Stegostoma tigrinum: one gene and its partner. The protein of the gene in region 2 purifies or fractionates together with the protein of the main gene of each other region. This does not show direct contact. Links are inferred from orthologs where the notes say so. Each region holds a gene or a part of one and is shown on either strand. Other genes may lie near its edges.

What was found.
Region 1: the proteins of hspa12a (region 2) and A-kinase anchor protein 12-like purify together in Homo sapiens (affinity purification with mass spectrometry; 3 studies listed by BioGRID and IntAct, with this or other methods). This does not show direct contact. The link is inferred for Stegostoma tigrinum from reciprocal best matches to the Homo sapiens genes HSPA12A and AKAP12.

What each region holds. Positions count from the first base shown.
Region 1 is NC_081362.1:16,983,184-16,999,268, reverse strand, and holds the start of A-kinase anchor protein 12-like, read left to right. Parts: upstream 1-9,191; 5' UTR 9,192-9,245; intron 9,246-9,703; 5' UTR 9,704-9,759; coding exon 9,760-9,861; intron 9,862-16,085. UniProt on the Homo sapiens protein: Anchoring protein that mediates the subcellular compartmentation of protein kinase A (PKA) and protein kinase C (PKC).
Region 2 is NC_081373.1:20,486,456-20,501,366, reverse strand, and holds the start of hspa12a (heat shock 70 kDa protein 12A), read right to left. Parts: upstream 7,911-14,911; 5' UTR 7,606-7,910; coding exon 7,566-7,605; intron 1-7,565. UniProt on the Homo sapiens protein: Adapter protein for SORL1, but not SORT1. Delays SORL1 internalization and affects SORL1 subcellular localization.

The DNA of each region.
Region 1 (16,085 bases), on a different chromosome or scaffold from region 2:
ATCCTAATGACCTTTGAATGGTCTCATATAATCATCCTTACAGTGTGGAAACAGGCCCTTCGGCCCAACAAGTCCACACCAACCTTCAGAGCACCGCCCCCAGACCCATCCTCCTATAACCTACCTAATCTACACACCCCTGAACACTACAGGCAATCTAGCATGGCCAATCCACCTAGCCTGCACACCTTTGGACTGTGGGAGGAAACTGGAGGAAACCCATGCAGACACGGGGAGAATGTACAAATTCCACACAGGCAGTCGCCTGAAGGTAGAATCAAACCCGAGTCCCTGGTGCTATGAGACAGCAGTACTAACCACTGAGCCACCATGCCATCTCATATCACAAAAAGTGGAGGACTGTCCAGTCCTGCTGTGGTGACAGCCATTTTTATCTTCATTATGCTATTTGGATGAGGGTGGAAGGAAACAATGATGCATTTCACCATGTGAATCACAGACTCAGCTTCTCAATCCAGGTGGCCCCTCCCTCCCCAGTCTTATCACATTACCATGTCAAACATTGCCACCCCACGGATAACTTCATGCTTTGTCCGCCCCACTCCCCAATTGCACATCCATCCCATCCTTTATCATCTCTATATTTTGAGTTTCTCATTCCGTATTCCAACATGCTACCATCACCAGGACTGAGCTCCCCAACTTCCCTGATAAATCCTCCCTTGACTTTCAGTGAGCAGACTCCCAAGACATCCTGTGAGTCCCGCTCTTCATCGAACAGGGTAGAACAGCCCTGACTAATGAATGACTGGACCTGGGACAATCACCATATAGCTCCCTGACTGACTGTGATGACACTGACAGGTTGCACTGGACTATCAGGAGTGACCATGGCCCCCAATCCATGGAGTGCCATGAAATAGAGTCCTTGGCCCTGACCCTCCCAAGTGGCCAATAGGCTATGCCCAAGCAACTGAACTCATTTGCAGATGCTGCCCTTCCCTTACTATGTCCAGTTCCTTTGACTGATGGCTGCCTCCTTTGCTGGACTCTTCACCCCAAACAGTTTAAGACATGGCCATTTGGTTGAAGACAAAGAGTGGGTTTGCAATGTAGGCAGATAGCACATGGTATAGGTGTGTGATTAATGCAGCAACATATCCCAACCCTTTGACTAACCACTGCTAACAATCATGACAATGTACTTTGCTTTATGCCTGCTCTGAACAGCAAAGTAAAATAGAATGACTGAGAGCCTTTTGAAAACCAAAAGAGCTGCAGATGCTGTAAATCAGGAATGAAAACAGAAGTTGCTGGAAAAGCTCAGCAGGTCTGGCAGCATCTGTGAAGAAAAATGTCAGAGTTAACATTCCTCAGTTCTGAGGAAGGCTCACCAGACCCGGAACGTTAACTCTGATATTTTTCCTCACAGATGCTGCCAGACCTGCTGAGCTTTTCCAGCAACTTCTGTTTTTATTCCTGAGAGCCTTTTAGCTCTGGCTGAGGGGACAAAGTGCAAAAAGCAGGGCTGTGAACATCTAATCTCTGCTGGAATCACTTTATTTTTTTCCCAACGTCCCAGCTAATGCCCCCATTGCTCAGAAGCCAGGAAGATTCCACCAACTGTTCCTGGCTGAGGTTGAATTTAGACCCTTGTTTCTTGAAGGCCTTCACTCTCATCCTCTGTCTTCAAGCAGCTTGTCCTTCTCTGTGCTGCCTCTTCCTAGCCTGTGTCAACCTGCAGGCCATGGTTATTGAACTCTTCAGCACTCATGACTTGGAGTATGTGCCCTGAGATCAGAACATTTGAGATCAGAACCAAGGCCTTCATCATGTGCCCACAACCTCACTATAGACTTCGGCAACTTCAAATGGCAGTATAAACCACCAAAGCGAACTCAACAGCAACAAATCAATTAGCACCGATCTGAGCAGATGATGATCTCTTCGAAGATGGTGATCATTCTTCCTGCTACTAAATGCATGTTAAATGTTCAAGGCAAGATGGTTAATGACAAGGTGGACAGCATTGATATCCATATGCTGTTTGTTAATGTTCAGAGGGAGATTGTTAGTGTCTAGGGGGAGACTGTTCAAATCCGAAGTGAGATTCTTAAGGTTCTGGAGGACAGCATTAATGTCCAGGTTACGTGTGGAGGGGAGAAGATGCTGTTATCATTGAATGAGCTCAGCATTTTTTCTGATTTCCATCAAATTCAGTGAACTGAACCCACTGCATGCATTTCTCACAAAGAAATTCTATCACATTCCATGTTGGTCTTTTCTTAATTTCATTTTTACTTCTTATTCCTCTTTTTTCTTTGTCTCCACCCTTTCTGACTATCTTTTCACACGTCATGTGCACAAGTTGGGGTTGGGGAATAAGAGCATTAACATGAAGACTGCTTGACATTCTGTTTAATACTTGATGGCAAGACATTGATCATGCTCACTTCAGTCAATGTAAAATTGATGAATGGTGAGTATGGTATAGTCTACAACTGATTTCCTGGAAATATTTAACAAGAGCGTAGGGATTGAAAGGGAAAGAAAGAAAAATGAAAGGTAAAGAAACATGAAGGCCTATGTAACAAAAGCAGGACATTTGAAGAGAAAAGCAACACCTAAGTGCTTTTAAACACCACATCCCAATACTTCAGTGAAATGGAATCTTTGCAAAGCTAAAGCAGAATAAATCCACTGCCTGATCTCAGCATATTCCAAACATGCACTTAAATCAGAGCTGTGTCTCCTTCCTCCTAAGTGAGACAATATTAGTAGAATATGCATTCTGCATTTTAATAATTAAAATTCTAGTCAGCAGCTTCTGTGGCTTGGCAAGTTATAGAAAACTGCACCATACAGAGGAAGAACTCCAGCAAAGGTTGAGTAGAATGTACAATATGTACGAATTATCTCTGCTCCACATTAGCAGCTCCACACCTTTCTTCATCTAACTCTATTGACATGTCCTTCTGTTGTTTTCTCTCTTGAACACTTGTCTGGCATCCTGCGAGATGTATCAGTGCTATTTCTCTTAGTGTAATAGCAGATCATTCGATCACTCTATTCCATGAAGAACTTTCTCCTGTATTTTCTACTGAATTTATCAATGAGTATCTTCTACTTGTGGCTCCAAGGTTTAGTTTTGCACGCAAGTAGAAATATCTGTTCCATTCAATCCCTTTATAATTTAAAAAAGTCTATCAGGTCACCTCCAAAATTTTTCTTTTGACAAAAGGAACCCCAGTCTGTTAGTCTGTACTGTTGGTTAGGTCACCTTAGCTTGCAATCATCCCCTTATGTTTTTGCGCCTTCACTTATGTTTATATATCCTTATTACCAGACTTTGCACAGTCCTCCAAAGTATGTTAACATGGGCTTCAAGTTAGGTTTTTTTTGTTAACTTTGAGTTAATAGTTATAGTGCTGTGGCTCAAAAAGAAACACTTGTATCAAACAAAATACATTTGAATGGTTGCTTGCCAGTTTTGGCTAAAAATAGCCTGGGAATTTTAAACAAGGAACTAGTAGCAATGAAAATTAAACAGTGCTCCAGCAAGTGAATGGGGAAAGGGATCTTCAAGCAAAGAACTGTGGTTAACCTCAGGACATCCCATAGTACTTTATAGCGAACTACCTCTAGAACCATTGTCACTGCTGTAATTTCGGAATCATGTCAATCAATTTTCACACAGCAAGATCTCACATACAGCAATGGTGTTGGTTTGATGAATATTACTGAGTTGTAGAATGCTTTAGCACAAAAGGAGGCCAGTTGTCTGAGCATACATGTCAGCTTTGATTAGAGTTCCCAGTTTCATGTCCTACATGCCCCTTTTGGACCAATGCCTTATCACTGCTACCCCTACAAATCAGATTGGTAAAGATCAATGTTCTGTAAGTGTCTACCATTCTTACTAAAGTAGCAGTTTAGTGGGATCCAGTAATCGACAAGGTTGCAGTTTCAGCCTGTATGGACTCATTTGCAAGGCTGGTTAGAAGTTCTGTGGTGGAGGCTACTTTCTCCGCCTGTTAGAAATTCTCACAGTTCCCCATACTGCCGATTCATTATTGTCTCCTCATTCGCCTCCACAATTTGGTCAATATCTGGCCAAGTTTTCTGAAATTCCCCCGGTGCTCATAACTAGGCAGAATTACTTCTACCACATCTCAACTAACACTGACAGACAGCCTGTCGCTGCCACCAAAGCTTAGCACTGGTGCCTGGTGGGACATCCCATGACAGTACACCTTCAGAAAGAATGAGATTCTCTAAGAAACTGTCCACATGGATGTCCTATGTTACTTGCTGTACAGATGAAGAAGGTCCTGGTAATCGAGGGAAAAGTGACTTAGTGGCGGCAATGTCACAGTGTTGACAATCACTGTTCTCAGTACTCTCATAGTTCATTGATGACATGAAATCAATATGTCAGAGTTATTTGCAATCCAGGCCCCAGCTATTTGCCAGCTCCCTGACTCTCCAAATGGGAGAAAATTACTGCAGATGGTAGAACCTGTTCTGTGAACAACAAATGCTGGAGATCACAGCAAGTCAGGCACTATCCATGGACAGAGAGCAAGCTAACCTTTTGAGTCTAGATGGTTTTGCATCTCTGACTGAGTGTGATGCAGACATACTAGCTGTCACCATGTTGGCCTCCTCTGCCTCAGTGAGCCTGACTGTTCATGTCTGCCACCCCCAGTTTTTTCCCTCTCCTTTGCATTTTTGTTCTCTTGTACCAAGAATGAAGAAATGGTCTAGGGAGTAACTGAATGTTGGATATTCAACCACTGGATTCAGTAATTTTGATTAATTTGGCTAGAAGAAGCATGCATCACATTGGACAAGGGAAGGAGTGAGTGTGGACAATAGATGGGTAGGTGGAGGTGATAAACTGAGATGAATGTGAAGGCTATGTGCAGCAGAATGGTGAGAGGGTGTGAGGAGTAATGAGATGAAACACACTAAACAGCTTGTTGGTGACAGCTAATTTTCTTTATCTCAATGCTGAGAGAAAGTATGCTTCTTCTCCTCCCAGCGATAATTCCAATGGTGCATCATTGAATCTAAATGCTATCCTTGTTCAATGTATGAGCTCCAAGCTATGTATTGGTCCCTTTAACAATTATTGAAGTTGCAGTATGGGAAGGCACATCAACTCCTGTGCAACATGGTCACACAAAACTCAGAAATCAAAACTAACTGATGTAATTAAATTGAGATCGCTGATTCGGACATGCTCAACTCACACAATTCCACTCCCTTTCATCGTATACGAACTATATTCAGATTAACGTTCGCAGCTATGTGACAGAGGAGGTGATGTGGTCAGGTTAACTGCAACACAAATAATGATGCAACAGCAGGACGTTGAACACTAATTGCATTCGGAACAAGAAAAAGGAAAATTCAAAGGACAATTAACCATAGTGGTGTTTTGAGGGTTACAATTGTTGTATTTGGGCTTGACTGTGGTCACAATCAATGGATTAACTGTAGCATTGTTCAGAGGATTGACTGTAGTATTATTGTCTAAATAGAGCGTGGGAGAAAGCACAGGTTTCCATTGTGAGACTCAGGAAGCTAGACGTATGAAATGGATCACATATCATACCAGCTTTTAATTGCTCCATGTCCAGCAGCACAAGGGAGAAGTGTTAGATGAATTTGAAAAGCCTAGACAGGATTTAAATTATTGACAAGACTTGGAGTTTACCAAGAGCTAAGTGTTGTTGGAATAATGAAGTGAAACCTAGAGCTTCACCATGATTCCCAAATTCTTCTGAGACAAGAATTATAAATTTTGAATAGAATAAAGTGTTAAAGCTAATGTTACCTGCCTGATCCAAAATCAGTAAGAAGGCAAAACAGAAAACCACAGATTTGATCATTTCATTCCATCAATAAGAATGATAAAAATATGCCTGAAATGCATGGACAGCATAGGCACAGCCGATACATACATGTTCAGAAAAGAAAAGTGATACTTGTTTATTCTAGATGAATTTTGTGAGGAGGTTGCTGAATGAGACCTGAATGGAATGGAGCGCCATTTGGTATATTTGAATTGTCAGAAAATAAAATACCACATGAGAAACTTTTTTTTAAGATTAAAGGGATGGCTTGAAGATGGAAAGCAAAGGGTAGGAGTAAATAGATGCCTTTTGGACTGGAAACTAAGTGCATGCCTCGAAGTTTTATGTTTTGACCTTTCCTATCACTAGGAAAGTGATAGCTAATGTCCGTAACTCATTTGAACATTCAGTGAATAATTAGGGAAGACAAATACTGAATGTGGATCAATTTGAACATTAAGAGGGATAATTAGGAGGAAGGCAGCTAATTTTAAGATAGCAATCAACCTTTATCCAAACTCCAGCTTGTGTTGGGCTTGTAAACCAAACCATACAGCAAACTTTGAAAATGTCTATTTCTATAAGTTAGTATCAAAGACTGTACTTTGAAAAGCCATGTTAAGCTACTCATAAAAAGTGATGTTCATTTAACAGGAAAGAATTTATTTTATGCTGGTCTTGCTACAAATTTGTTACCTTGCTTCTGGTAAACCAAAAACGTTGGGTAGCACAAATATTATCTAATGTCTTCTCACTGCAGCACTAAGCATAAGTACCTGAGGGAAGATTTTGTGTTTCACTGGTCAATACAATCAAAGCTCATTTTTGATATTATCATTTCTGGAGGAGTTTTTAGCTCTGTAACTAATGTTGAAGATAACAGTATCTATTCAACTGTTTTCCATCTCTTTTCAATCCAACCAGAGAATTACTAATTAGAAAGATCTAAGTTTCTGCCATTGAAAAGGGCATCCCGATGCACTGTAATGAAATGTAATAGCATTACAGGAGAGTTAACACATCAGGTTAAAATGATATTCCCCAGGAGATGAGGGTGGTGATGCATGCCAGTTCCCCATGCCTATTTTGGAACACTCCGGGAAGTGCCTTTTCCGAGTCTTTACATCACTCGTCGATGTTGTGTACTCTCTAGCATCACCACAGACCAAGGACCAGATGATACTGGTGTTATATGAGGCTGGTTGTTATCGTCATTATCAGCGGGGCCCTACTGATGTTACTGGCAAATTTGTAAGGACTATGTCTCGGTGGAGGATCTTATCTCACCGTTTGCGGTTTTTGCTCACTTGTCACTGAAGAGTTGTAAGAGTTCGAGTGTCAGTGACAGAATGAGTCTTAATGTCGTATACTGGCTCGATAACAACTTCTTCCATGAAGGCAGTTGCATCAGCTGTTTCCTCGCCAGTCTCAGTTATCGTCTTTGTCTCTGCCCAGCTTTATGTCTCGATAACTTTTGTTGTAGGAGGTTTGGTGGTAATGCTTATCTCAACAGCAGGGTGGGCTGCCCTTACGGTGCCTTCTTCAACGTTATCTATGTCATCCAATACAGGGTGAGCCAGCTCCTGTCAGACCGATCTCAGCTCCGTGTATGGTAGGAGGTAATGTCTCAATGTCGCTGTCTCGATCTGGACCGAGATGGACCTTGTTGCGGATGTTACACATGTATAACCGAATGATTTATCGCAGCTCGCGGTTGTGGACAATGCTGCGGGGAGGTTGTTTATCCGGGACACTTCCCAGCCGGACTGCTCCAGTGGAACTGGAGACTCATACTGGTTTTTTGAGTGTTGGTCTGTATAGACCATGGCCGTCTCGTACTTTTTCTGGTCGTTTGGTCACCCAACAGCCAGGACTGTTGGGCTTACTTGCGGGGCCAACGGGGAGGCACGACACGCACTATGCGCCAACAATATGTCAAAACGTCATAGTGGGCAACTAAGAGAGTTTAAGACTTACTAAGAATGCTTAGCCTTAAGAGAGGCATTGTTACTCCCCTTGCTGTGACCACCTCCTACTCCTTCTCCAAAGGTATCTGGCTGTGGTGTAGCTGTGTAAAAGAGGCAGGCAGTTGGGTTGAATATCCCCTCAGTTGTCTCCTACTCAGACCCTGTTGATGGCCACTTTTGGCCAGGTGGGGAAGCCTAAAGCAGGAGTTTCTGATCCATGCTGAGTGGCCAAAGATTGGGAGTGTTCGACAGTAATTTGATCAGAAGTTGAGGAACAGCCTTTTCAGACAACGAAAGAGAAACTGCAGCCCAACACATACTACACAAACAAACATGCCTTCAGGCCACAGAAATAACAGGCATGCCTGGAGTCAATGAACTGAATTTGCAGTCTTTCACATGGAACTGACAAGTCTAGTATCTGCTACATCATATTCCCAATTCACACAGGGAAAACTTTGGAGAGTTTCTCACCATCCCCATCAGATGGCAGGATGGAATCAACTGAGGGTCTGAAGTATATGGCAATCTCTTCAATTAGTAATCCCATGAAAATTTCACTGGGCCATGTCGCTGACAATTTGCAAAACGTTGGGCATTATTGAAAGTCCTGCTTTACAGTAGTTGAATGTTTGACCTGTACTTCTGTCCTTCAGATTAGGTAAACTGAGGGATCGAACAATTCACATTACCACGGAATTTGAGAACTAATCAGCAAATGGCTTTCCTCTGTTTGAGTTTGAATCTCGGAATGACAGAGGAAGTGCCTGTACTGTCAGTGTGGCTGCCTTTCACAGTCAGCATTGTTTTAAACCAGAGCAGGGCGGTTCTCCCCCAGTCCTCAACACTTAGCCCCAAACAAAATTAGTAAAACAGATTTCTTTGGTCATAGCCACGTTGCTGACTACGGGATCTTGCAATGTGCAAAGCGGGGGCTGCTATTCATACAATAATAATTAATTATGCTACTAAAAGTACTTTATTGTTGTGAAACATTTTGTGATGAACTAAAGTCGTCTGGAAAGGCATCATACAAGTGCCGACTTTTTTCTCTTTGCTCAGTTTCTCTGCGTACTCCTTACAAAATCTTTATCATTGGACATGCGCTTCTGCCTTCATTTACGCAATGAACGGCTACATGTGTTAGACGCAGTCACTAAATCAGTTGAAAGGCAGTACGGATGAAGGTAGTAAGAACGGTGCGGGTTGACAACTGTCCTTTTGCAACAAGGTTAATATGAATCCGAATAGCAGACAGTAAATCACAGCCAGTCTCAGCACATCTTCCTCAGTCAGGGGTCTGTGTACGAGGTGGGGGGAGTAGAATGCGGTTGGCTGCTGCTTCCTTTCGTGAAGCTGGTCCCTCCCTGCCTCGTTTTCTATTGGCTCAGAATAAGATTTGGATCACGGAGAAGAAAGCAGGAGATCGAGGAAAGCAGTAGAACGCAGTTTACAGGTTTGAGTCTGTAACGGGAGTGGGGGGGCGCATGGTAGGAGACTGCAGAGAGGAACCACCCGGAGTAATCTGACTCAGGAAGGAACCAGGGTCTAGCCTGACCCCAGGGGGGAGAGGGACAGTGACCAGCCCGACCCCAGGGGAGAGAGAGGAGGGGCAACAGTGACCAGCCCGACCCCAGGGGAGAGAGGAGGGGCAACAGTGACCAGCCCGACTCCAGGGGGAGAGGGAACAGTGACCAGTCTGACCCCGGGGGGGAAAGAGAGGGACAGTGTCCAGCTCGACCCCAGGGGAGAGAGGAGGGGAACAGTGGCCATTCTGACCCCGGTGGCGGGGGGGGGGGGGAGAGGGACATTCTCTAGCCTGACCCCAGGGGAGAGGGGGCTGTTGGTGGGGAGGGGGCTCGGATGGTGAATGCTGAGTGGTTTGGCGAGCTGATTGCGGGACTGTGCCCACAGGCCGAGCCAGGATCTCTCTGTCTGAGCGGGTGAGCGTGTCCCTGAAAGTCCGGGAGATGGGGGGCCGCGTCTCGGCGCAGGAGCCCGATCAACTCAGCCCGAGTGAGGAGCAGGAGAGCGGCCAGGAGAGGCAGCACACCGAGGCACTGGACGGCAGGGTGAGTGCATGGCCTGTAGAGGTGGGGGAAGAGACACCACTGGGTGACTGCCTGGGGTGGGGGGTGGGTTCAGGAAGGATGTGGGTGATTTACACCCCGGCGGGGAGAGAGACTGGGTCTGGACTGTTCTTGCTAACAGCTGGGAATCCCAAAACTCGCAGTTGCAATGGAGCAACTTTTACAGGACCCCTCCTAATCTCTCTCACTTCAGTGTCTCTCTCTCTGCCCTCCCATGTGTCTCTAGACCGCCCTGGGGGTAGGCTTCGTGGCTGAACTTGGTAAGGGTCTTTGTAAAGTGTAGTAGGAAAATTTACAGCCTGCCATCAGTGAAAATGCCGAACCCCCCCTTGGGGGCATTCATAATATTCTTAGGTCAAACTGTAAGAGTTACCGAGGACAACGTGAACATAGCGAATATTGATAACCAAAGCAAAAACAGAAATTGCTGGAAAAGCTCAGCGGGTCTGGCAGCATCTTTTATAACAAAGTATCTGGACTTTGGCTCAATCTCTAATATAGAGCATAATAGTCTTAGTTTTAATTGAATGACCCGCATGTGCTTTTAAATTCCTTTATTTTTATTTGGGTATCCTTCCATCCAAGATGTTTTATATTTGGAGCTGCAATGCTGATGCTGGCTAATTCACTTCGGTCAGCAGCGGTCTTCAACCCCCAAATAGGGGGGAGAAAGTTGACCCAGGTCCTCAGTCAGGTTAATGAATGGGGCGGGGAGCTATCATCAGAAAAGACTGTTACAGTCACAGGCAAAGTTTAACTGGCGCCCAGGCAGGCTGTCTGGTTAGAGTTGCAAAGGATCTGTTACCATATTGGGAGTGCATCGTGGAGCATCGAGCTGGATGAACGAGAGGACAATGAGGATGGTATGTCTGCAGGCCCTGTATAAAACTCTCTACTCCTTCATCCCAAATCGCTGGAAATGAAAAACTGAGTCTGCAATACAGATTCCTGGGTAAAATTATCGTTAGCATTTCATTAGCTGGAATACTGTACTATTCCCAACCTCTCACCACTGCCACTCCCTAAAAAAAATCAATTTGGTGTGTTGTAGGTGGATTAATAGGAGGAAAAGTAGGGGATTGAGCAGTGAACTAGTGTGGGGACTATATTAACAGAGAAGATAAATAAAATAAAGCTTAAATATACCCAAATCTTTTCAAATGGGAATGTAAAGCTCACCCCCATTTGTGAGTGGTTGAGCTGTATAGCCCTTACAGGAAGGGAAAGAGAAAGTAACAGAAGGATGTGTAAAATGTGATAATGTGGGAAGAGTTTTACTTTGGAGGACAATAGACTCATTAAGCAACGAGACCTGTTTCTGTGCTACAAATTTGATGAAACTGACAGTGGATCAAGGTGCAAAGGAAAGGTTCCAGCAACAGAACAAAATATTATGTTAAAGAGTAGTATGGCTGATTTCCAGAAGTAGCTTGCTGCTTTAGCGGAATGTAAAAGTAGCGCTGCTGAAGGAAGGGTGGGGAATAGAACTGAAGAGGGACTTGAGTGTGTAATTACACAGATTATAATAAGGACAGAAAGTTATTAAACCTGACTGGTATGCATCCCAGAGTGCTGATGACTGGGACTGACAAAGTGGAGGATTTGTATTATTTTATCAAAAAATCTTGGAAACTAACTGTACCACAATACCGAATGTAGAAGAACTACTTAAAATTGAGAGTCAGGGGCTTGTTGACAAAAAAAACAGAAAAGGCTCTGCAGGTCTGGCAGCATCTGTGAAGGAAAAAGCCAGCATTAACATTTCGGGTCCAGTGATGCTTCCTCAACCGATGCTGCCAGACCTCCTGAGCTTTTCCAGCAACTTCTGTTTTAGTTCTTGATTTACAGCAACTGCAGTTCTTTCAATTGTTGACTGATTAGTTTTACCTGGGATGGGAGTAACTGTCTGGAGTCTGTAATCTAGAATAATATTAGTGAATGTTATGGAGTCCCACCTAATGATTAGGTCAGTGACCTTTGCTCTGAATGAGAAGGTGCTAGAGAATTCTTTTATCTCTACTAGATTAGATGTCAAATCTTCTAACCTTGTGAATAAAGTGCACGCTAGCTCATTAAGGTTTGGTGTTAGCCCTTCCAAGATCAGTATGTCCTTCCTGGGTTGTAGTGCTCAAAGCTATATGCGGTGCTACAGAAGGGATCTGAACTAGTACTATACAACTGGAGGATGACTCCCTAACCCCTAAATTCCAATTTTCTATGCAGAATTTTGTGCAATTTCTATACCTGCACATTGGCTTTCTTTTTGTGATTTCTGTACGTAGGCACCCAGATTATTTTGTCCTTTAACATTTGGTGATAACAAGTGCTGGAGCATGTCAAGCTGATGATTATAGGAAAACGTGGATGACAGAATGGACCATGCTAAGTAATAAATTGTGTTGGTTTAGTGGATTGGGTGTTTGGGGGAGTCGGAGGGAAATTGCATGAACAATAAGACGTTCACCATGAAGCTCCTGAGAATTCAACACCTTTGTAGTATTCTAAATTTTACAATTTGCGTCCAAAATGCCTAAAAACATTGGGGTTTCAAATTTTCAGTTGAAGATTTCTGATCATGAAAGGCATTATTCTGACAGTGACTTCTTAAAAAATGTACAATTGTGCCTGAATTGTGATACCTAGTCCCGACCGTTTTGTAGGTAAACACATCAGCAAGGTAAGAGACTTGCAAATTCAGTGTATTTACACCCTTGTGCACATCTCAGTCTTATGGACCATTATTCTGAAGCCCAGCTTGTTGCATCAATAAACGTGACTGCCATGCTCTAAACAGCTATGTCTTGAGTGCAGGACCAGTGACCAGTTAATTGGTTTCCAGGTGGTGACATGAGGATAGTTTTCCAGCAAGGAAAATGGTCGTCTTTGTACAGTGGCACCTTTTTCGTTTGGGCTTAAGATTAAACTCTCTTGACTGTGTATGAGTGAACATCCCACTTGCTTGTGGCTCAGTAGTTGGGAATTTAATCTTGACCCTTTCAGCGGAGACCTGCTTTCAATACGGTTAATAGTGTGTGGCTGAATTAAAACTGGAATTATTTTCTGTAGTGCCCTAACTGGTGTCTTTGAAGTTGTAAGTTCAATAGGGTAGGTGGAGAGAAGATGTTTCCACTTCTAGGTAATTCACAACGAGGGACCCATAAACTTGAGATTGGCTGACAAATCCAGTGAGGGATTCAGGACGCACTTTTCTTGAGTAGGAAGGATGGGGAGCCTGTTGTCACATCACATGGAGTGGTGGTGCACAGAGCAAAGGCACATTTTAAAAGAGGAAGCTAGGCACGTACATGAAGGGAAGGGAATGAAAGGAGATGTTGACAAAATTAGATGAATTAGGGTGGGAGGGATTTATATGGAGTATAATCACTGGCACAGAGCTGTTGTGCTGAAAGTGTGTTCCTTATTGACTCCACTCTGGTCCTTGCCAAAGGACTTTGGATTTGAGTCAAATTATTGAGCAGCATGGGGGAGTGGGGACAGATTTTATTCCACATATCGGTCATGCAATATGTATCAGTGAGAGCGTCCATGTATTAAAAACTAAAACTAACCATTCATGGCCTAAAATTCTTTAGTGTGAGGAGAGAAATTCCCATGACCTTTTGCCTTCTTCCCTCCTCACCTCTGCTCCCCAGGGAGTGAGGCGTGGAAGGAAGAAAAATTATAACACTTGCTTCTTGCTTGTTCTCACTAACTTAAAGATTAGCTCAAATGCACATTACAAAGTAATGCAGTTTGCAGTACAACAGCTGGTATGTTTTGGAAAATGTAGTTAGTTCCTTACTTGGAATTAGTGAAGATATGGAGGCAAGTACAGTCCTTACAGTTTAACATATATGGAGTGATTGAAACAGCGCTAGTGTATTTAAAGGCAGTCTTAATATGTGTGGGAGAAGGGAGATAGGACTGTGGAAAGAAGAGGAATTTGAATAGGAGTAAGCTTGTATGGATTATGAATACCTAAATGGGGCTAATGGCTTGCTTCTGTGATGCTGCTTCTAGGATTTATTGCAATTTTGATTCCAGACCCAGGCTATTTTGTGTCAAGGCCTAAATTTGATTTGGGTAAGCATGGATGTTGGTGCATCATACATGGCATGTATCTTGTAAATCCTTGATCCTGAGTGCTCTTTGAGACACTTACGTCTGCCAGTTTAACTGCATTGGAGATGTCTACATTTTAAAAAAAACAGTTTTGAATTGCTAACAGTGATAAGGTTATAGTCTAACCTTCGTACGTCTCCCATTGTCAGTTTTCTCAAAGAAGGGACAATCAATCCTGACTTACGCGAGAAGGTTTGGGATTGAAATGTTAAGTTGTGCTCCTAAAAGAGTTCTATTTCTTTTGTTGGATTTGTGCTGATTTGAGTAAACCTGCTAGTTACAGAAGCTTTGGACACTGGGACAACGTGAGCTTTCAAAGATAAGTTGGAAAGATTTTAGTTAGTAATGGTCTAGAAATAAAATAGGTGATTGAAATTGTGGTATATATCCAAATTAATGCTGGGGCTAATTCAAAAGGGCCGAATGGCATCCTGTTGCTATGTGCCTTTCCCAACACTATTGACTTCACTACTGGACCTGTTTTATTGTACTCATATCCAGTCTCATTTAAATTGTTCTGTATTGTTTTGTTAAAAATAAGCACCTGCCTTCCAAATTTTCTCAGTGAAAGTATGTTGTTTCATCCAAGCTCCAGGCAATAACTAGTTGTTCCGTTTTAATATTCATTACGCTTCCAATAAATGTTTTTTGTTTTTGCCTTCCACCCAAATTACATTTGGACTGAAACCACATGTATGTCAGTCTTGACGTGAGCATCTTTAAAACCTGCAGAAAATTTTAATCTCCTCAATTTGTTCAGAATTTAGATTTTAAGTAACACCGCCTTTTGTTCTCGAAGGAATTTGGAACAATTTTGGACTGAATTGGTCTCTTTCAAATTTTAATCTAACAAAATTCGTATTTCACTAATGGTGGCTCAGTGGCTAGCACTGCTGCCTCTCAGCACCAGGGTTCCAAGCTTGATTCCACTCCTAGGTGACTGTGTGAAGTTTGCACATTCTCCCCATGTCTGCTTAGGTTTCTTCTGAGTGCTCTGCTTTCCCCTGCCACAGTCCAGAGATGTGCAGGTTAGGTGGATTGGCTGTGCTGAATTGCCTTTAGTGTCCAGGAACAAAAACAAAGTTGCTGGAAAAGCTCAGTAGATCTGGCAGCATCTGTGGAGGAGAAAACAGTTAACGTTTTGGGTCCAGTGACCCTTCCTCAGAACTCGTGTCCAGGAGTTGGATTAGCCATAGTTAATATGGGGTTGTGGGGATAAGGGTCTGGGGCTGGGTGATATGTTCTTTGGGGGGTCAGTGTGGATTAGATAGACCAAATGGCCTCTTTCCATACTGTGTAGGGCTTCTATGATTCTGTTTACTTATTCCTAAAAGTAGTTGAGGATGTGGAACATTCTGTGTTAACAATTATTACTACACATTGAATTACTTTACTTTGGTCTTGTGTTCATTCCAGTAAAAAAAAATCTGGAAATTCTTCTGTGGTCCCAGCTGTAGCTGTACTGATTTCAAATCTTCATGTCTCTTACCCGAATATTAATTGGAGAAGATTAAAATTTGCTGCAGATTCCAGTGACTGTTGGCAATGGTGCCTTCAGCTACTTAAGCGATGAGCTGGAATTTGCTCCCTCCGCTCCTGCATCCTCTGATCTCAACTTTAAGTATCTGCCCAAGTTTGGTGCAGTCACATTAAAGTGAAAGTTGCCATTTTATAATGACACTTTTTTTGATTATAGTAAAATATCCCCTGGCATTCCACAGGAGTAATGTTCGGCATTTGTTAACACTGAGACACATGAGATATTGGGATAGCTGGCCAAATGTTTGCTTTTGAAGGTATGTTTTAAGCAATGTCCTAAGAGGAGAGAAAGGCGAAGAACTGTTGAGGAAAGAAATTGCAGAGCTTGTGGCCTGGCAGCTGAAGGCACAACCAATATTGTTGCGAAAGAAATGAGAGGTCAGAAATCCCAGAACACTGGGATCGTGTATGAGCAGAGGACATCAGAGATGTGAGAAGAGGGGCAATAAGGGAGACTGCCAAGGGATTTGATCACGTGGGTGAGAATTTTGAATTAAAGCTATGGGCCAGAAACATTCAGGTGAAAAAGCATGGGAGGGTGGACC
Region 2 (14,911 bases):
ACATCGCAATTGGATCCTCCCCCACCTCACTCCAAGATGCTTTCCAGTCCAGAAGTATCTGTAAGCCTGACAAGGGTAAGCAACATCACCTTGATAATCACAATCTCAGTGGCAAAGAACAGCATGTATTATCCTAGCTATGTTGTGGTCTCCTAAAACCAGATTTCATTTTACTGCCCCTACTTGGATAGCTTTCTGCACTATGAGCCCATGGCTAGCTTGCCCTTCCAATCTGCAGTACTGCATATTCCCACAAAAATCTGTAAATATCTTGAACCAATTGGACAATTACAAGAACTTAGGCTTCTGCTTTGCTAACTTCCAGGTCCACATATTTGTCTCAGCTGTGGTCATATCCTTTTCTCCCTAACCACAGACCTAATGAGAACTATCGAGTCCAAGGGGCATGAATGCTTCCAAGAATAAGTGTCCAAGTAACTATCCTCCTCCTGATGCACCACAGTGCCCACTCCAGTACGTTAATTTTGAGCCAAGGTTCTTTGAGCTGAAACAATCACTCAATGTAGTGACTGTAGATCATGCAGGTGTCCACCAGCTTTCACGTGTTAGGATGAATACTGATAGAGGGAAATGGTATAACATGAAATGGGAACAGGGTGTGTTAATGTTATTAAAAGTTGTCACTCATTTTCAGAATAGATGTCACTGTGGACTGATGGGGCAGAACAACATGTCCATATCCTCCCTGTTCTTTCAAGTTTGTACAGTGTTCACTACATATGGCTTAAGTCTTCTCGAAAAGCTATGGGAGGATGCAATCTCCTTCTAAATATACATCAGACTAAAACTACAATCTACTTTCAAATTACTTCCTTCCTAAATTCCTCTTTCGCTGGCTCGACTACCAGATAGGATGCTGCTCCGTGGTGTAGTCCAGTCCAAACATTTACCAATTTTCGGTATAATTTTAAATTCTCAAAGATGATGCAGTTGCATGGTCAAAATACCATTGATTTTTGGCCACTGAGAAGCACTTTTAAACAAATTAATGTCCTAATTATGAGCAAATGGCATTACCTTTGTTAGGCTTGATGCCAGTATCTGTCACATTCCTCTAATTTAATATTTGGATTAAATGGATTACAACCAATCTTTTCTCACTATCGGAGAATGGATCATAATGGCCTGTGATAGATTTGATTGCTCAAACAATCAGGAAGATATGTACTGCATTGAATAATTTATTACTATCTCCTTCCAGCCTTACCATTGCTTCAGAATAATTTTCTCCTTCAGCAAAAAGGGTGGAGCAGTGGAATGCTGACATTTTTACAGCAGCACTGCATTGTCTGCTACCCAGCATTGCACACAGGCCAGATGCAAGAACTCGCCAAGATTATTAGCTGAAGAACATCATGCTCAGTGGGAGATAAGGCTGGAGTTTAAATGTGTTTTTAAATGGGACGCTAAAACTATGTTATTAGAACCAGTCAGTGCCTCTGACACCATCTTTCTCTAATTGATAATATGCAGGCAATTTTCAGCAATGTTATACAATAACATTTAAAATGAAAATAGCAAAGAAGATAATTTGATGCATATGTTTAGTGTTCAAATAATGACAGCAGCAATAAGAAGTATTGCCTCATATAAAGTATGACTGCATTAATCCATTTTGCCTTGCCCACCATGCCTGAATGCTGGGCACACCCTGCTCTTTACTGGCTTTAAAATCCTGAACAGCATGTCTGAATTTCTGGTACGTCCCACACATGTAGCCTGGATTGATAGAAATCACTGCTATAATGAATGGGTACTACAAATGTGTACAATTTATAGGAATGTTAAATTTTGATAAGCTTGATCCGTAACTCTGCTCATTTAAACACTGACTGTTAACCGCAACTTACTGCAAACCAAGATGCACTACTTCAATAATTTGAACCATTCTGAACACTGACTTCTTCAGAGAAGTTATTGTTTTTTATAGCTACTTCAGTTTGCTATCCATTAATTTTTGCAATCAAATGTATTTGGTTGTACATTATTTTCAGAGATTGACCCATTTGTAAATAGGAGAAGGTTCTACTAATATGCTACTGAAAAGTAAAAATAAATGCATTTCAATATAATAGTTAGTCAATATGCCTCACAGAGTTATTTTTAAAAATATCAATAGGCCTTTGTTTTGCCAGTTGGTAGAGAAGAAAATGTTCTTTCTGCAGTGGATCTGCATCAGTTGATATTTCCATTCCCAACACGTTCAGCCCAAGTGCTTTGAGTTTGTGTTGAGATTGCAGTATTAGCTCCATCAGGGGAATACAATGATCTCAGAATAGTGATATTCATGACTGATGACCATTAACCATCAGTAGAAGGTGACCTCCACATCACAGGAGCTGTTTGAGTGTAAATTTACTAAAAAAAAACAGAAGCTTTTAAAATCAAAGTTACTAATGCTCTGATGTTCTTTCCCTTTTGAGGTACTGACTACATTCTATGATACAGTTTCATGGACATCAAGAACTCACTAGTTCAACCAATCGAATGTTCTTCATGTATGGAGTCATATAATGAGTGCCAGCATTATATTTATCTGGAAGGGACATCAAAACAGTTCCTGTTTCAATTCTAATCATACATAGTTTAAGAAATCATCTTTCTGATTTTTCTTATACCTAAATTATGTTCACTGAAGTCAAAATATTGGTAGATTTGTAAATGTAGGGTAAGAAAATGATTTCTTGCTGACTAAAGGAGGTTTGCAGCTTGGAGGAAATTTTGCTCAGCATTAATCTTCATTTAAATGAGTGTTATATTCAGCCTGAGCTATGGAAGGGATGGTTGTGTCAGTTGGCTGGATGGCTGCCTTACAATGTGGAATGATGCCACAGCGTGAATTCAATTCCTCCACCAGCTGAAATTATAATGGAGCACTCTCCTTTTCTTCCTCTTCCTTCGCTTGAGGTGCAGTGACTTTCGGGTTAAAGTCACCCGTAGTTACCCCTCACTAATGAGATAGCAAGGTTATGGTGACTTTTACTAAAGGTGCAAACATTAAAAGCCAAGTATTTTATCGGCTTAATTTTATTCTTCAGTATACTGTCACACATTGTAGGAGTTTCATAGTCACTTGGAAGGCCACATGAGCTAACAAATGACCTATGTCATCCTCTGCCATCCTTGTGATTATCTAAAATTGTTTTCATCCAAGCTGAACCACAGCTGAACATTCTGGGACTGCAAAATACGACTTAGAATCTCTTAGAATATTTCAGTTTAGGAGTGAATTTGCTCTATTTTCTCTGAGAAAATTTGCATGAGTGACTTAAATTAGTTTGTGCTGCACTTGTAACTTTTCTAAATGAATGTAGACTTACATTCAAATTTTTAGCAGGACACAACTTCAGACAATTGTAGCAATCTATGAGTGATTACTTTGAATTTTCTGTATTCTGGGGTGTGTGTTGTATTCTCTGCAACTTTGAATCTTTTATAGCATTAGAATCTTTAGTTTTTAAGATAAAATCTTCCACAATCACATTTGCTAAAAAACATACTGTGTTTATTGTGCATAAATGATAGTTTGATGGCTTCAACTTTAATTTTCATAAAAATCAATAAGGACCTCAGGAATCATAAATTATGCTCTGGGACTTCCTTGGGCCCTGATTATTTGTACTTGATTTCCATTGTTTATTTTGCACATTTTGCACCCTGAAAATGAGTTCTCTGGATATTGCAGTGTAAATTACCATCAGAAAGGTTGACATAAAAAATGGAATAAAGTCAGATTGAAGACATTGTAGCCTACTACATCACAGGGGTAACTCTGTGTCATAATGCTCAATTTGCCCAATCTTGATTACATCATGTGGGGAAGCACATCGAAGCTAGAATTATTAGCCAGCAAGAGTTATCCCAAATTGCTTTTGCAAGTTTGTAGTACAGTAACTAATTAGATAAGTCACTTGGTAATTTGATGAAAGACACTTGGTTCCAGTCATCTTCCCATCAGGAGATGGGAGAGAAAGACTGAGTTGCTGGAAAAGTTCAGCATATATGGCAAGATCTGCACAGAGAAAGCAGAGCTCATGTTTCAGGCCCATTGACCTTTCCCCAGGATTGATAGTAGCTAGGAAGATTTTTTTTGCAGAAGGTAGAGTTGGTGGGGAGTGAGGGATAAGGAGAAAGCGAAGGTGGATATAGAGTCCCCATTAGTAGACATTAATTCTCCTGGGCTAATGGTTATCCGCTCCTTTATATGTCCAACTGTTCTTCTCTCTGCTTGGATTCTATCTCCACCTACTCCCTCCCCCATCCTATCTTTTGCATAGAAACTAACTTTTTCCTAGTTAGCATCAGTTCTGAGGAAGGGCCGCCAGACCCGAAACATTAACTCTAATTTCTCTCCACAGACGCTACCAGACCTGCTGAGCTTTTCCAGCAATTTCTGTTTTTGTTTCTGACTTCCAGCGTGTTCTTTCCATTTTTATTTAATAGATTGGAAATAACAACAAACCTTCTGTTTTTGTGTGATGCACATTGATGGAATTTTTAAGACAAATTTACATTTTCAATATTTGCTGCAAGAACACTTTGAAGCCCTTAATTCTCTTCCTTTCAATCTTGAAGTTGCTGGTTTATTGGTAGAGTGTATTTCCAGATGCACAAGGTTCCCCTAGTATCTTACCCTAATCATTAACTTCACTCATGAGCTGGAAGAATGGCCATGATCTTGTGGAATTGCAAAGCAGGCTCCGAGATGAAATTGCCTACTTCAATTCCAACTTCTTATGTACTTTGTTTGATTTTGGATAATGAAGGGATAGCATTCAAATTTTGAAGTGAAAATGGACTTAATTGGAAAGTAAAATTGATCAGGGTGTGTAAAGAGTGGTTGATATGCTACCATCCATTTTACAGCCCAGCCAAAATAGGATTTCACACCCCTTTCCATTCCAGCTCAAATTTTCTATTCTTGTGCTAATCAACTGCGTGGGTATCACACCAACATATAACTCTGCGATAATAAAATGTGAGGCTGGATGAACACAGCAGGCCAAGCAGCATCTCAGGAGCACAAAAGCTGACGTTTCGGGCCTAGACCCTTCATCAGAGAGGGGGATGGGGAGAGGGAACTGGAATAAATAGGGAGAGAGGGGGAGGCGGACCGAAGATGGAGAGTAAAGAAGATAGGTGGAGAGAGTATAAGTGGGGAGGTAGGGAGGGGATAGGTCAGTCCAGGGAAGACGGACAGGTCAAGGAGGTGGGATGAGGTTAGTAGGTAGATGGGGGTGCGGCTTGGGGTGGGAGGAAGGGATGGGTGAGAGGAAGAACAGGTTAGGGAGGCAGAGACAGGTTGGACTGGTTTTGGGATGCAGTGGGTGGGGGGGGAAGAGCTGGGCTGATTGTGTGGTGCAGTGGGGGGAGGGGACGAACTGGGCTGGTTTAGGGATGCGGTGGGGGAAGGGGAGATTTTGAAACTGGTGAAGTCCACATTGATACCATTTGGCTGCAGGGTTCCCAGGCGGAATATGAGTTGCTGTTCCTGCAACCTTCGGGTGGCATCATTGTGGCAGTGCAGGAGGCCCATGATGGACATGTCATCTAAAGAATGGGAGGGGGAGTGGAAATGGTTTGCGACTGGGAGGTGCAGTTGTTTGTTGCGAACTGAGCGGAGGTGTTCTGCAAAGTGGTCTCCAAGCCTCCGCTTGGTTTCCCCAATGTAGAGGTAGCCACACCGGGTACAGTGGATGCAGTATACCACATTGGCAGATGTGCAGGTGAGCCTCTGCTTAATGTGGAATGTCATCTTGGGGCCTGGGATAGGGGTGAGGGAAGAGGTGTGGGGGCAAGTGTAGCATTTCCTGCGGTTGCAGGGGAAGGTGCCGGGTGTGGTGGGGTTGGAGGGCAGTGTGGAGCGAACAAGGGAGTCACGGAGATAGTGGTCTCTCCGGAAAGCAGACAGGGGTGGGGATGGAAAAATATCTTGGGTGGTCGGGTCGGATTGTAAATGGTGGAAGTGTCGGAGGATGATGCGTTGTGCACTCAGTTGACACTCACTATCTTATAGATTTTTGTATTGGTGAAAATATATCAACAAAAAAAGTACAGTAAAACTTTTACCTAGAAATCTTTAGAATCTCACACATTCTTCTATTCAATTTACAATGTATCTATTCAGTTTTCTGTAATATTTCTCATTGTATACAGCAAGTGTGTCCAAAATGTCTACAGAACCACTATTATTATATTCATGCTTATGACAGTGAGGTTTCACTCATACAGTAGTAGAATAGGCATTACCTGCTGATTTTATTTTCAATTTTTGTTATGATGTAAGTCCATTAAGCTACTCAGATGAAAAGAATCACAGCAGTCAGTCATTTTATAATTAAAAATCAGTACAATTGAGCACCCTAATACTAAAAAACAAGGTGCAAACTTGTCCAAAAGAGACTACTAATGTTCAGCGACCATTCTGCTTCAATTAATTTTCTAATTAATAATTTATTTTGAAGTTTCAATGGTAAAGCAAATGAAAGTGGAACAATTTTTGCTCAGTGACTTCTATTTTATCTTCTGAATATCGACAATGATGTTATATTTTTTGCATTAATAATTTGAAATTTTGTGATCTCTAGGTTATACACGGATCCCAAGTCAAAAGAACTGTTCCTCCTCGAATCGGCATTCTTTTGGGAGGCCCCAAAGTAGAGGCCTGGTGTCTAGACATTGCTGTGAAAGAACATTGAAGCTGGAGATTGACCATGTTGTGGAGAGCTGTTTAGTTGGCATAAGCTCACACAGATGACTGAGAATGATATCACGACTGTGAAGGTGCTTTAGGTTCCAGCAACTGGGAAGACAAGTTAAAATATCCACCTTCCCAATCATTTTATTAAAACGATTAGTGATGAAATTCCTTCTCATTGAGCTACTTTGTACTCTCTGCAGCTTTAACTGCCTCATTCAGGATACAAACAATATTTAATACCAAATAAAAATGTCTACGACTTAAAAGATCGAAACCATTATTTGAATCTTATGACATGCTACTTCCTACATTTGAGTCAGTTTTATCTGAGAACTCATTTTAAAGTGGCCTTGATCGAAATCACTACGACACGGCATTAGGGTGAGTAATTTTGAAATCTGCACTATCACGATTTATAATTGTAACTGCATGTAGGGATTGTTTAAAAGCAAAACCGTAAATCCGATCATTGAGATTAAAACATATATCGGGGCAAAAACGGATTGCTCCAACATTGGGACTGAACTGAACGCTCACAGTAAGTGGCTAAGAGAGGAAAAGCCAAATGAAACGGATTATGCTGCAAGGTTTTTTTTCACCTGCAACAAATCAGCTCCATGTAATTTTATGCTGCATTGAATCCCACAAGTCCCCCATCCATGTGACTATTACAATGGCTGGGCTCTGCAGTGAAGCTTGAGAGACTTAACAGGATATTACATCCAGTCAGGATCCTAGAGATAAAAACAACCAGCAGCGAATGAAAAAGACTACGAGTACTGTGTGGGTCCTGGCAGTATCACTGCAGGCCAATGCAGCGTCATAACAGTAAAATTTTTCCTACCTGCAGTGTGGCCTTCAGTCACAGACTCCTTCTCAGACATTGTGGTGAATCTAGTCAAAATCGGCAGTCTTTAAAACCTATTAATCATTAGGCTAGCAGAATCTTTAGCTCACAGTGCAGTCACTGCCATTGAAAACAAATATTACAATCTGTCTGTATCGCAGCTTGTCACCAAACTACTATAACAAGCTTTTGTCGTCCTTCCCTTCTCTCTCCCAAAGTCTTTTATACACACAGATTAGTAATAGTTCTAATCTTTGACCCCCCAACCCCACCCTAACTCTGCTCAAAAGGTTTCCTTGCCGAAATTAACCCAAACATAAAGAAAGAATGAACTGCTTGCACTCTTACTCCTCATGTTTCTGCAGAGCTCCTCCTCCCTAGTGCGTTCATACACAGTGTCAGCAGCATCAGCAGGGAAGGGCTTCCCATGCTGCAGTAAATGACCGAGCAACGGCAGCAGACTGCCAGCATGAATCACACAGCAAGAGAAACAATTAAAATCGCCCAGTAACTGCGCGAGATTGATCCGGTTATTTTAGATCCTCCAGATTTCATTATTTTGCACTGTACTTGTCAATCTTAACACTGTTCCCCGTGAAATGTACACGGCAATAGTTTTAAATCGAAGAGATTTTAATTGCAGAAATACACTGTAGCAAGACTCTTGGTTCTAATGTCCTCAAGTTAATAGTGCTATTAGTTTTGTATCTTAAATCCTGTGTATTATGCAAAAACTTTTAAAAATATATAGGAAACATTTTGAAGGAAAACAATGTTGTACACACAGCTGCTCTAAGTCCCTCTGATGTCTGGTTAAACGCTGCCATCCTTTCCTGATCCAGAATCATATATGATATATGCCATCTTCCAGTAGGTTTCACTTCCAAATCAGTTCTTGTGGCTTAAAATAATTAGGAAAAAAAACCCTCCACTTCTGGGGGTAACTCTTCGACATTTGGGCCCAGACCTCCGGGATCCAGGCAGTCGGAAAACGGGCGTACCTCAAAAGAAGCGCATCAGGACCTGTCAAAATCTGCCCACACTGAGGACACAGTAATTGCCCGGAAAGTTTTAAACTTGCGAAGGGCAATTACCGGATGACGGAAACCCTCTGAAGTAGTCCCCGTTCCGTATGGTCGAAGACTTGAGAGTCCCAACGTACCTTACCAACTAGCCAAGAAATGTTAGAACGTTAAAACCCGCCCTTAATCGTGCCTAACTGTACCAGTGAGCTCCAGCTCAATCACTCACAATGATTGTTCCACAATGATCACTCACACTGACCAGCACCCCAGTCGACCCAGCCGACCCCACATTGATACCAAACTCACAATCTCCTCATACACTACGATGCCCACCCATGGACTATAACCAGTCTCATTATCTCCAAACACCCAAATTGACCTCCTCCACCCCTCTGCCACCATACACTCATGCCTAATTCCAACACCTGACCCTTTGAACCCTCTCACCCTGCCATCTGTATCCCGTCACTGATCAGGAACCCAAACCATTCCATTTTGTCCCCTTATTCACATAGCACTACATTCCCTCACTCTCACCTTCTCTCAGTAGCTGTCAAAGTGGCTTTGGGGCTTTTAAACACTTTACTAAAAAAACAGCTATTTTCATAAACAAAGGGTATGGTTTCATCAACAATCATGTCACACAAATGCGAGGCAATGAATATCACCAATAAGACAGTATCTAACCATCACTCCTTGACATTAAATGGCACTACCTTCACTGAATTCCCCACTGTCAACATTCTGGGGGGTTACCAATGGACAGGACAGTGAAGAAGGTTGTCACAGAATACAATGGGACCTTAATCAGATGGATCGAAAAGTGACAGATGGAGTTTAATTTAAATAAATGAGTTATTGCATTTTTGTAATGCAATTGAAGGCAAGACCTATATGTTTGATACTAGGGTCCTGGCATGTGTTGCTGAAGAAACAGACTTTCGGGTGAAAGTTCATTGTTCTTTGAAGGTGAAGTCACAGAGTTTCTTAAGGTGGAGTCACAGGTAGACAGAGTAGTGAAGAAGGCAAAAACAGAAATTGCTGGAAAAGCTCAGCAGGTCTGGCAGCATCTGTGGAGAGAAATCACAGTTAATAGTTCAGGTCGAGTCACCCTTCCTCAATTCGGGATGTTTAGAAGGCTTTTGATATTGTCCCATACAGGAGAATAGTAAACAAAATTAAAGCACATAACACTGAGGATAGTTAACAAGCAAAAATCAGAGAGTCAGCATATGTCAGTCTGTGGCCAGTGGACTACCGTAAGGTTCAGTGCTTGGGCCCCAGCTGTTCACAATCTACAAGAATGATTTGGATCTGCTGGAAAATGTAATGTTTCCAAGTTTGTAGATAATGCAATACTTGGTGGTAATGTGAGTTGTGAGGAGGATGCCAAAAGTCTTCAGGGGTTTTAGACAGGAGTGAGTGGGCAAGAGCATGGTAATTGGAATATAATGTGAACCAGTGGGAGGTTATCCACTTTACTGGGATGAAGAAAGATGCAGAATATTTCTTAAATGGTGAGAAATTGGAAAGTGTCAATATCCAAATTTACCTAGGTGTCACCAGATTAAAAAAAAACTTAAATGAACTTGGATGCTGGAAATCTGAAACAAAAACAGAAGTTGCTGGGAAATCTCAACAGGTCTGGCAACTTCTGTAGGTCTCTACATTGGGGAAATGAAGCGTAGACAGGGTTAACAAAGTGTGAGGCTGGATGAACACAGCAGGCCAAGCAGCATCTTAGGAGCACAAAAGCTGACGTTTTGGGCCTAGACCCTTCAGAGAGGGGGTGAGGAGAGGGTTCTGAAATAAATAGGGTGGGAGGGGGAGGCGGACCAAAGATGGATAGAAGAGAAGATAGGTGAAGAGGAGAGTATTGGTGAGGAGGTAGGGAGGGGATGGGTCAGTTCTGGGAGGACGGACAGGTCAAGGAGGCGGGATGAGGTTAGGAGGTAGGAAATGGAGGTGCGGCTTGAGGTGGGAGGAGGGGATAGGTGAGAGGAAGAACAAGTTAGGGAAGCGGGGACGAGCTGGGCTGGTTTTGGGATGCAGTGGGGGAGGGGGAGATTTTGAAGCTTGTGAAGTCCATATTAATACCATTAGGCTGCAGGGTTCCCAAGCAGAATATGAGTTGCTGTTCCTGCAACCTTCAGGTGGCATCATTATGGCACTGCAGGACGCCCGGGATGGACATGTCGTCTAAGGAATGGGAGGGGGAATTAAAATGGCTCGCGACTGGGAGGTGCAGTTGTTTATTGCGAACCGAGCGGAGGTGTTCTGCAAAGCGGTCCCCAAGCCTCTGCTTGGTTTCACCAATGTAGAGGAAGCCACAATGGATACAGTGGATGAAGTATACCACATTGGCAGATGTGCAGGTGAACATCTGCTTGATATGGAAAGTCATCTTGGGGCCTGGGATGGGGGTGAGGAAGGAGGTGTGGGGTCAAGTGTAGCACTTCCTGCGGTTGCAGGGGAAGGTGCCAGGTGTGGTCGGGTTGGAGGGGAGTGTGGAGCGGACAAGGGAGTCGCGGAGAGAGTGGTCTCTCCGGAAGCCAGACAAGGGTGTAGATGGAAAAATGTCTTGGGTGATGGGGTCGCATTGTAGATGGCGGAAGTGTTGGAGGATGTTGCATTGTATCCGGAGGTTGGTGGGTGTTATGTGAGGACTAGGGAGATTGTCTTTGGGCGGTTGTTGTGGGGGCAGAGTGTGAGGGATGTGTTGTGGGAAATGTAGGAGATATGGTAGAGGGTGTTCTCGACCACTGCGGGGGGCAAGTTGCGGTTCGTGAAGAACGCGGACATCTGGGATGTGCGGGAGTGGAATGCCTCATCCTGGGAGCAGATGTAGCGGAGGCGAAGGAATTGGGAATAGGGGATGGAATTTTTGCAGGATGGTGGGTGGGAGGAGGTGTATTCTAGGTAGCTGTGGGAGTCGGTGGGCTTGTAATGGACATCAGTTTCTAGCTAGTTGCCTGAGATGGAGACTGAGAGGTCCAGGAAGGTGAGGGATGTGCTGGAGATGGCCCAGGTGAACTTGAGGGTGGGGTGGAAGGTGTTGGTGAAGTGGATGAACTGTTCGTGCTCCTCTTGGGAGCAAGAGGCGGCGCCGAAACAGTCATCAATGTAACGGAGGAAGATGTGGGGTTTGGGGCCAGTGTAGGTGCGGAAGAGGGACTGTTCCACGTAACCTACAAAGAGGCAGGCATAGCTTGGGCCCATGCAGGTACCCATGGCCACCCCCTTTGTCTGTAGGAAGTGGGACTGACATAGACAGGGTGACTGCTTTGCAGAATACCCATATTCTGTCCACAAAAAGACCTTGAGCTTCCAACCGCCTGCCACTTCAACATACTACCTTGTTCTCTGGCCAACATCTCTGTCTCAGGCTTGCTGCAGTGATCCAGCAATGCTCAGTGCAAAGTGAAAGAACAGCATCTCATTTTCTGCTTGGGAACTCAACAACCTCTGGACTCAATATCGAATTCAACAATTTTAGAGCTTGAGGCACCTTCTGCCATGACCTTACCCCAGCTTCCACACTCCAGGCCTTGTTATCACATAGCCTGCTATTATACACAACCCATTGTTAGTCCCTGATAGTTCCCGTTAACATCTATTTATTCTCTCAGGCTGACTGTTTTCAACTCCTTTGTCTGTCTAGCTGTTCTTCTCTCTCCTTGGGTTCTATCTCTGTCTATCATTTACTCATTACTCCCTCCCCTCACCCTATCTTCTGCATAAAAACCAACCTTTTCATAGCTACCATCAGGTCTGAACTAGGGTCACTGGATCCAAACTGTTAACGCTGATTTCTTACCATAGATGCTGCCAGACTTGCGGAGATTTTCCAACAATTTCTGTTTTTGTTGGTACTTAGGTGTTCTTGTTCATGAGTCACAGAAAATTAGCATTCAGGCGCAGTAAACAATTTAGAAGGCAATGGTGTGTAGACCTTTTTCGTAAGAAGATTTACATACAGGGTAAAGAAGTCCTGCTTCAATTGTATAAACCATCAGTGAATTTCATGCAGTTCTGATCCCAGAAGGATGTATTGTCATCGAAGAGTGCAACAGAGGTTCACCAAACCGATTCCTGAGATGGTGAGGGAAGATTGAAGGGACTTACCTCTGTTCTCTGGAGTTCAGAAATCTGAGAGGTTTGTAGAAACTTCCAAAAGTCTTTAAGTGATAGACAGAATCTGCCTGCTCACCAGTGCCCCTTTGAGTTACAAAGACCTGGGATGTTTCTTCCTCAACCAGCTACAAAGATATTTGAACAATATACTGACCAGATTGTGCTCCTGAGTCTAGTCCAGAAAGAGTATGCACTGAGGAGTAGGAATGTGAACTGGCAGAGGGTGCAGGTGAATGTCTTATTGGTACACTCTCTGAAGCATCAGTTACCTCCTGCTCAGGGGTACAGGTGGAGTTGAGAGCCGACAAAGTTCGTCAGTCCTTAACAGAGGTTCCCTGGTCCCCAAATAAGAAAAAAGAGAGAGTATTTGTTGGAAAAGATGTACAAAATAGTTTGTGCAGATTCAGAATGAGTTAATTCTAGTGGTAATGGGAGAGTGGTGAATCACAAAGAAGCTTACTAGGTTGGTTGCCTGTTATGTATCCCTGTTCCAACATGAGCAGTCCTATTCATTTTGAGTAGCAGTTTGTTCCCTCATACAGTTCATTCTCTTGTGCACACTGTTTGCAAGAACCTTGTACCTAATGGACAAGTGCAAGGGATGAGGCACTTCCAGTCCTACATCACTTGCAGTCTCATCCTTGTCCTTGACCATGAACAGTCTTTCATGCTTAATCTGTCTGTGGCTGCTTCCTGCAGCAATGTTCCCACATAACTTTTTCCACTGTTGCAATGCATTGTCCTACATGCTACAGCTGCAATACATTACCTGCACATTATATAATTAGGGCTGCAAGTTTTAAAGTATCATTCAATGATTATTTGTAGTCATATTGAGTAATGAATTTAATATAGCACATATATCTTTGGTTCTAGTTTAAGCTACAGCTTCCATTGGGACAAAAAGCTGTAAAACAATCAACCACCTACCTGTTCACCAAGACAACAATGCATGACGTTCTGTGGAAGGATCACCAGACCCTCGACGTTAACTCTGATGTTTTTCGTCACAGATACTGCCAGACTTGCTGAGTTTTTCCAGCAACCTCTGTTTTTGTTCCTGATTTACAGTATCCACAGTTCTTTTGGTTTTTGTTCAACAAATCTTAGTGACTGCAGTCTTACGTTTCACCTCTTGAACCACTCTTTATCTTAAAAACAGCAGAAGAGCAGCTACTTCCTCACTCAATAAATTTCTAAATTAGTTACTCCATAGATGGTGTATTCCATCAAACTGACTTGCATGCTCCTTACCCTCAGCTTTTGTTTGTAAAGTTAAGGAACTCTCTGCTCTTTAACATTCATATAAACTCGTGCTGCTACTTTCAAAGACTTATGTAGGTCTTGATGTTCCCTTTCTAATTGTACCATCTAATTACGTTGGGTCTCTTCATTCTTCCTTTTAAAATCCATCACTTCGCACCTCTCTGCACTAATTGGATTATACCCTGCTCAAGAAACAAAGAAATGAGCATCTATGCAGAGTGGTTTTTCCAACGCAAGAGCTACAAATTCATGAGAGATAAATTTGTTCAGAGGACTCAGAATCGTACAGCACAAAAGGAGGTCATTCAGACAGCCATGCTTTGTGATATTCCTCTCATCACATTTGGAAGAGATATCCAATTTAGTTCCATGTCAAAATTATCTCCCATCATTCTGAAAATATTAAATTTTAATTTCATCCATTTTTGTCATATTATTGGAGGTTAACAAAGACAGTTTTTAAAAAAAAAATTGACTGAAACTTAAGACAGCTGAAACTATTTTACACCCGTGAAGTCATTTTCACTCCATGGAGACACAAAATTGATGAAGATCCTGAAAAGATTTGATTTTCTTTTGTTTTGAATTGTTGGGCAAAATGGGAAAATAATAATGTTGTAAACTAAGGGCAGTGGAAGGAGTTGCTGCACTTGTAAAACTGATTGCTGGAACTTATCGCCCTGTAAAGTTAAGGAACTCTATGATCTTTAACATTCATATAAACTCGTGCTGCTATTTTCAAAGACTTGTGTGGGTCTTAATGTTCCCTGGCAGCACGGTGGCGTAGTAGTTAGCACTGCTGCCTCACAGTGCCAAGGACCCAGGTTTGATTCCAGCCTGGGGCAACTGTCTGTGTAGAGTTTGCAGATTTTCCCTGTGGTTTCCTCCCACAGTCCAAAGATGTGCAGGTTAGGTGGA